2 linked regions of the Cricetulus griseus genome follow. The protein of the gene in region 1 interacts with the protein of each later gene in a biochemical or structural test. Links are inferred from orthologs where the notes say so. Each region holds a gene or a part of one and is shown on either strand. Other genes may lie near its edges. The genes, in order: Cflar and DNA-binding death effector domain-containing protein 2.

Region 1 (3,821 bases):
GGTAGGAAGAAAACACAATTTTAAAATCTCTTTGGGGACATTTAAGTTTTTCTCTCTATAGGTACATACTATCTACTTTTATTTTAAAAGTGAATCTTCAAAGAAACAAAAAATGAAAAAAAAAGTCCAATATATAAATAGACACATTTACTAATGCACATAAGAGTGAGAGCAAAAGGAAGTATCCCAAAATATTAATAGTAGTAATACCTAGTAACAGACACATTATTTTAGAGACAGGGTTTCCCTGTGGCTTTGGAGGCTGTCCTGGAACCAGCTCTTGTAGACCAGGCTGGTCTCAAACTCACAGAGATCTGCCTGCCTCTGCCTCCCGAGTGTTGGGAATAAAGCCGTGCGCCATCACTACCCACCAGCTGAGCATTTTTTAAGGTTTATAATCATAAGAAGTTGCACACATTCTTAATAAAATACATGTCTACATAATTTGTTCAGCTTTTACAACACATGAAATGAGATGCACACTTTTATTACATCTCTGAAACCGGTTCATGCTAGCACTCCGCACACTGGCTCCAGACTCACCCTTGAACTATATGAAGGCTCCTTAATACTCAAGTTTGGAAGAGAAGCCTGGAAAGAGTTCATATAATTTGATCCTACTCCTTGGCCTGTAAAGACAGAGAGAGGGGCTAAGGTCCATAAATTGTCAAGTGAGTCTTCAACAATGCTTCAGTCCCAGTCGATCGTCATCTTTCAAAACACCTTAGACCTGAACCATCTGAGTTCAAAACATCATCAGCTCAGATGACTTCTGCCCATCAGCAAAAATGACTAACAGGATGGCTGAGCTGACTCAGTGGATAAAAGCACTCGCCACCAAGTCTGACAACTTAATTTCCTCCCACATGGTGGAAGGAAAGAAATGACTCACTCCCACATGGCATGTAGGCATGCATACATGTGTGTACATGGGCTCGCGCACACACACACACACACATACACACACACACACACACACACACACACACACACACACACACACAAATAATATATGAGCATGTTTGTAAATTAAAAAGAAAATTAAGGACTATTCCTATTTCTGATTGTCATTCAGAATTATAAGCAAGTTTCTGTCATGATCTTTACCCTGTGACCCTATGGTAATAGTGTAAGGGACAAGGCCAACCCACTTTATTAAAGAAAAAAACAAAAGTGACCTTTTCCATGAGGTTAAGTGAGACACAGACCACATGTGTAGGACAGCAATCAGACCCAGAGACACTGCCCATAGTTGGACGGTGGTCATCAGGTCCAACATGGAGCCGGATAACAGGGTTCAACCTACAATCCAAGTCATAAATGTTCACAGTCTCTCTCTCTACCCTTTAAAAACAGAGACACAGACTTCTTTAAAGGCCAGAATGTTAAGACCTGCTTGGTGGCAATTTTCAGAGGGAGGAGACTTGCCAATGGGGTTGGAATATTGGGATATGAAGGCTATAAAGGAATATAATTTCTTGACATAGGCTAGAGGGGGCTGGGATGCCTAGGTTCTATTTCGACCATGTATCAGCAAATGACTCCACCAACCATTCCTATTGTGCACTAAAGACCACTGAGAAGCCAAATTTCTTACCAGACTGCGTATACTTCTGAATTTTTGTCTTCAAGTCTATTCTGTGGATATTCTTCAGGCATTTTTCTAATAAATTCAATTGATCTGAAGCAATCAGATTCAGTTTCTCCAGTTCAATCACCAGATCCAAGAAACTCTAAAAGAGTCACCAACAAGAAACACACATGAGTGGAGCCAACAAGTCTCCAGTGCAAACTCCAGGCCATCTGCTCATAACAGCAGGAAAAGGTGACAAGATGAGACCTTCGGGTAACCCTTGGAGATCCCAATCCAGACAGTTCTGCCCAGAACAAATCACCCTCCTGAGTTTCACTCAAAGAGATGGGGGGCTACGGCTGTAGCTCAGGGGGTAGAGTCCTTGCCTAGCATGCATAGCTATTCCCTGGGCTTGATCCCCAACACCACACACCATAAGGGCGTCTCAGAATGTGTGGGTGTGTGGGGGGGTTAACTGAGGAAAATTTGATATGGGAAATCTTCATAATGCCATCTGAAAGTTCTTAAAGTGTTTTCATTGATGCTGGACATTCCAAATCATTCTGTCTCAAGAGAAGGCCACCAGAAAAGGTGGGGCTCTCCTACTCGTTCAACCCGAAACACCAGGATCATTAAAAAAAACTAGACTTCCAAAGTAAGCATTGCTTTGAATTTTATTTTGCTGATGGTTAACATTTGGTTACTTAACTGTTAATCATTAGTTCACAAAGACAATAAGCATAATTACATATAAATTGAAAAGTTGATTAGGGAAACCCCCCCCCCAAATAACTCCTGTTTTCCTTTTCTTCCTCATTCTATATTTGATGTGGGAACATGCTGTTCTCCTATATTCCTAAAATCAAGGAGCCTGAGAAAACTCTTAGAGGCAGGGTAGCCTCTTGGAAGACTTACTGTCACTCCCAAAGACAAAGATTTTTTTGGGCCCATCCTTTGGCTAACCATACCAGGAGTTCAAACACTCTTCCAGCAACCCCAATAACTCTAATATGGTCACCACATTTCTATCCTAATCTACACATTAGCCACTTCCCCACCTCCACAGGCCACTGAGAGAAATAAAACAGCAGTGGCCAGCAAATGAGAGTGGACCAGCAAGCCCTTCAGGTCTCCACTCCACTAAAGCAGATAGGAATCCTTCTCCCAGAGGAGAGTGTCAAATCAGAGAACTGGCATAGAAGCCAGACCTGTGACTGTTTTTAGAGACAGGGTTTCTCTGTGTAGCCCTGGCTGTCCTGGATGGCCTCGAAATCACAGAGATCCCCTGTCTCTGCCTCCGAGTGCTGGAATTAAAGGCATGTGCCACCACTGCCCTGACAGGCCTGTGACTTTTATAGAAGTCAGGACCAAATCTAAGCATAAAAGAAACACCCAAGGTCACAGGTACCAATCTATTTTCTTCTCAATTAAAAACTCATTCTCTTGCTTCCAGTGTTATAGAGAAACCATCTGAGATGCCTAGCTCCCGAAACCACGGCAGCAAGCTGCCCACTTCCCTCTCTCCACAAGGAGTAGGCCCTACTTCTCACAGCTCTTTGGAATGGGCATCTAGAAAAGACAACTTACCTTGTCCTTGGTTACCTTGCCTCGACCTGTGTAATCTCTTGTAAGGAAAATTAACGAGGAAACATCGGATTTATCCAGATTCTCACCAATCTCCATCATCAGCACTCTGTAAATCCCAAAAGTTTCTTTAGTAAACCCACACAAGAATCTAAGAGCCCATGCCTCATCAAGGCCAACATCTAGACTAATTCTTGTCCCATGGAGTGTGCCCTTACTCTATAAAGCAGGAAGCCTTGATAGTCCTCCAAGAGACTATTTAAAAAGTCAAAAAGAAAACTCATCCTCCTCCATTTGTTTGCTTGGTTTGGTTTTTTGAGACCCCTTGCGATGCAGCCCTGACTGTCTTAGCACTCACTGTGTAGACAGACTTGCCTCAGACCACTCACTACCTCCCATCTTCCTGTCTCTGCCTCCCAGGTGCTGGAATTACACACCTGCCCCACCACACCTGGCCTTTCCTTTGTTTGCAGTAGGACACACAGTACTTCCCTTTCTAACTAACAGCTCTGAAAACAACTGGGCGAGCAGACTTCCCTGAAAAAACCCCTAGGTCCCTAGAAGTAATAGTGAAATGAAACGAATTAGTAACAGGAAAGACAGAATTCAGAGTGGCCTTGTCCTCTCTGACAAGCTCCAGGTGACACTGGCCAAGAACTGTACT
Region 2 (4,469 bases), on another chromosome or scaffold:
CACAGACCGAGGAACACACACAGACTTAAATCACGATCGAGTGACACACACAGGCACACACACACACACACCCAGACTTAAATCACGATCCAGTGAGCACACACACACACACACACAGACACACACACACACACAGACTTAAATCACGATCCAGTGAGCACACACACACACACACACACACACACAGACTTAAATCACGATCCAGTGAGCACACACACACACACACACACACACACAGACTTAAGTCACGATCGAGTGCACACACACACACACACACACACACACACACACACACACACACACACACGAGACTTAAATCACGATCCAGTGAGCACACACACACACACACACACACACAGCCTTAAATCACGATCCAGTGAGCACACACACACACACACACACACACACAGACTTAAATCACGATCCAGTGAGCACACACAGACACACAGACACACACACACGAGCTTAAATCACGATCCAGTGAGCACACACACAGACACACACACACACACACACACACACACGAGACTTAAATCACGATCCAGTGAGCACACACACACACAGACACACACACACACACACACAGACTTAAATCACGATCCAGTGAGCACACACACACACACACACACACACACACACACAGACTTAAATCACGATCCAGTGAGCACACACACAGACACACACACACACACACACACACGAGACTTAAATCACGATCCAGTGAGCACACACACACACACACACACACACACACACACACACACACAGAGACTTAAATCACGATCCAGTGAGCACACACACAGACACACACACACACACACAGACACACACACACACACACACACACACACGAGACTTAAATCACGATCCAGTGAGCACACACACACACAGAGGGACACACACACACACACACACACACACACACACACACGAGACTTAAATCACGATCCAGTGAGCAAACACACACACACACACACACAGCCTTAAATCACGATCCAGTGAGCACACACACACACACACACACACACACGAGACTTAAATCACGATCCAGTGAGCACACACACAGACACACACACACACACACAGACACACACACACACACACACACACACACTTAAATCACGATCCAGTGAGCACACACACACACAGAGGGACACACACACACACACACACACACACGAGACTTAAATCACGATCCAGTGAGCAAACACACACACACAGCCTTAAATCACGATCCAGTGAGCACACACACACACAGACACACACACACATACACACACACACGAGACTTAAATCACGATCCAGTGAGCGCACACACACACACACACACACACACACACACACACACACACACACACACACACACGAGACTTCAATCACGATCCAGCGAGTGCCAGAAGCGGCGACGCTCAGCCGCGGCGGCGCAAGCGCGAGCGCGGCGGCCCGGGCGAGCCCGGGGAAGGCAGGCGGGCGTGGGGAGGGGCGGGGACACGCTTCGGTTGGGGGCGGATCCCGCGGCCTGGAGGGGGTGGAGCTTGGAGGCCTCACTCTGCGCTTGCGCCGTAGGGGCGCGGCGCTCGCACCTGCTCGCGTTGGGCGAAGTCGGGGGGAGGAGCGAGGTGACGCAGGCGTAATAATAGAGAAGGTGCCAGAAAAAGAGCCAAAACAAGTGGCCGCCGCCGTGCGTCGCCGGGGAGTCGCTGGACGCCGGGATCTGGTGAGGATCCAGAGGGGCCCGAGGGCGACTGGTGGCGGCGGGCGGATGGGGACACTTGCCGGGGTGCCGGGGTGAGCGCAGGGCCGGCCTGCCGGCCTTGCGGGGCGAGCGGCGGGGTGCGAGCGGGACCCCCTGTGTGGCGTTCGGGGCTGGCTCTGCGGGGGTCCCTTGCAGAGGCTCGGGGTCCGGAGGGGGGGCGCGGATGAGCCGCACCGCGGGGGTGACCCGGGGCGAGCGTTGGGGCTGCCTGGAGGGAACCGGTGGACAGAGCCTCGGGCCCCGCCTGCACGTTCGCCTCCCAGAGTCACCGGGCCGGGGACAAGGTGCCCTGGCCCGGGCCACCGGGCTCGTTGGGGCCGATGGATCTGTGGGTGGCGAGTTCGGAGCCCACCCACCGCGAGAGGGGGCGCGTCCGGGCTGCGCTGGCCCGGCTGGCTGCTCGGTGGACCGAGCGTCTCGACCTGTTACTTGGGGACCTCGGGTGGCACCATTCCCGTCCCCGGGAGGGGGAGGCTCAGGCCGTCGAGGGTGTGGGGTCACCCTGCCCGGTGTGTGTGTTGGGGGGGTGGGGACACACGCTGGCCCGTGTGCGCGCTGGGGACCACCGCGTCGCTGACCACGACATCCTCCCCGCTGTGTGGGTTCCAGGCCCTGGTTCTGAGCTTGTTCCGCACCCCTCCCCTGGGAATGGCGTTGTCCGGGTCGACCCCGGCCCCGAGCTGGGAGGAGGATGAGTGTTTGGATTACTACGGCATGCTATCGCTTCACCGTGTGTTCGAGGTGGTGGGCGGGCAGCTGACCGAGTGTGAACTGGAGCTCCTGGCCTTCCTGCTGGATGAGGCTCCCGGCGCCCCCGGAGGCCTGGCCCGCGCCCGCAGCGGCCTGGAGCTGCTTCTGGAGCTGGAACGACGCGGCCAGTGCGACGAGAGCGACCTGCGGCTGCTGAGCCAACTCCTGCGCGTGCTGGCCCGACAGGACCTGCTGCCACATCTGGCCCGCAAGCGGCGCCGGCCGGGTAAGGTTTGCATGGGAGCGTGCACGACTTGTTAGGAGCGCCTTGCTCCTAACTGGGGCCTGCGGTGCGCTGACCCCCCAAAAAGGGAGAGGGGCACCACTTGGGTTAGGAGTGTCAGTGATGATTGTGGCCACTGTGTGTGGGACTTTGTGTGCCGGGCCGAGGTTAAACCTTTCATATAAACTGTCACCTTTTAGCCTCCTCACCGTACAGGGAAAACAGCAGGCTCAGAGAAGTTATCTTACTGCACGCAAGAACCGCATCCTTTCTGTGTTGGCTACGAAGAAAATAAGGCCAAGATGCCCGTTCCGTGAGGCTTGCATTAGTAGAGGGAGTCAGTTAATAATAATAAATAAGGAACTTAGCTTTAGATAGTCATAGATTGAGTGAGATGGATACAAAACAAGGGGGGGTGGCCCTACACTGGGTAACGATGGAGGAATATTCTTCCAAGGTGATGACATTTAAAACAGGGGTGGGGATGGAAGTATGCCACACGTATAATATTTGTAGCAAGTGAGGGGCCTAGCTAGGATTCAGACCTTCCTGGGCTGTGTCCAGGGTTGGAACAGAAAGGGAAGAGCTGGGAGGGGTCAGGTATAGGAGGCCTGTGTATGGGTAGGCTCTTGGGCTCTTTCTCGAGAGATACAGTGTGTCGTTCGGGAGGGGGGGAGGGGGATTATGAGCTTTCCTGTCCCATAATGAGCCTGTGGGATTTGCTTAAACAGAAGGGAGGGTGCCTCTAGAGATAGGCTGTCTTGATTTTGGAAAAATATGTCTGAGTGTTGGGCTCTAGAACAGAAGCAGAAAGGCCTACTTGTATTTAGGGGCTCCAGACTGAGCCAGGAGCAGGTGGGGACAGAGGCCATTGCAGGGACCTGGGCTACTAAAAGAAAAGGCCTGGCAGCTGGAGCTGTTGACATGGTTGGTCAGCCCCATGAGCACTGTCCTGGGAGGCCTCAGCAATGTCGGGGTAGGAGGCGCTTGAGGATGCGTGGGTGTTTAGGCGTCACCTCCGAGGACTGGGGTTGGGCGTTCTTCCTGGAGGTTTCCAGCTGTGGCTACTTCTTCCATTCTCTCTCCCCAGTGTCCCCCGAGCGCTACAGTAATGGCAGTGCCGCCTCTTCTTCCAAAAGCGCAGAGGGCAGCTGCCGGCGTCGGCGACAGCCAAGCAGTTCTTCTCAGCAGAGTCAGTGGGACACGGGTGAGTCCACCGGGTGGGTAGGGTGACAGTGTCCCTGTCTTCTTCCCGAACTGGCATCCTGGCCCATCAAGGAAACGGCCTGAAGGGTCATTCTGACTGTTTTGCGGTGTGTCTGCGTTTGTTGTCGCTTATAGGAAGAAGCGTGTGCCCTGAAGTGGTATCACGTGGACCCATGTGACCTGGCAGCCTTGGCTGGGATTTATTTTATGGTGAATGCCTTTAATTAGTTCAATTACTGTATTCCAGTTAGAGTAAACAATCCCCTAATTTTTAATTATGTGAAATTTCAAACATCCAGAGAAGTTAAGATAGTATAGAGAATATCTTTGCTTGGATTCAGAAATCACTAACATTCTGTTGCTTGTGCTGTGTGTGTGTGTGTGTGTTTAGAAAGTTGTGAAGTTTTTGGTTTTTTGGAGACAGGGTTTCTCTGTGTAGCTTTGAAGCCTATCCTGGCACTCGTTCTGGAGACCAGGCTGGCCTCGAACTCACAGAGATCCTCCTGCCTCTGCCTCCCAAGTGCTGGGATTAAA

What was found.
Region 2: the proteins of Cflar (region 1) and DNA-binding death effector domain-containing protein 2 form a complex in vitro, tested with the Homo sapiens proteins (2 studies listed by BioGRID). The link is inferred for Cricetulus griseus from reciprocal best matches to the Homo sapiens genes CFLAR and DEDD2.

The regions. Positions count from the first base shown.
Region 1 is NC_048595.1:413,040,161-413,043,981, reverse strand, and holds part of Cflar (CASP8 and FADD-like apoptosis regulator), read right to left. Parts: intron 3,805-3,821; exon of another isoform or gene 3,595-3,804; intron 3,579-3,594; exon of another isoform or gene 3,376-3,578; intron 3,267-3,375; coding exon 3,161-3,266; intron 1,734-3,160; coding exon 1,598-1,733; intron 630-1,597; coding exon 544-629; intron 1-543. UniProt on the Homo sapiens protein: Apoptosis regulator protein which may function as a crucial link between cell survival and cell death pathways in mammalian cells. Acts as an inhibitor of TNFRSF6 mediated apoptosis.
Region 2 is NC_048602.1:9,965,356-9,969,824, reverse strand, and holds the start of DNA-binding death effector domain-containing protein 2, read left to right. Parts: upstream 1-1,560; 5' UTR 1,561-1,717; intron 1,718-2,365; 5' UTR 2,366-2,404; coding exon 2,405-2,732; intron 2,733-3,819; coding exon 3,820-3,936; intron 3,937-4,469. UniProt on the Homo sapiens protein: May play a critical role in death receptor-induced apoptosis and may target CASP8 and CASP10 to the nucleus. May regulate degradation of intermediate filaments during apoptosis.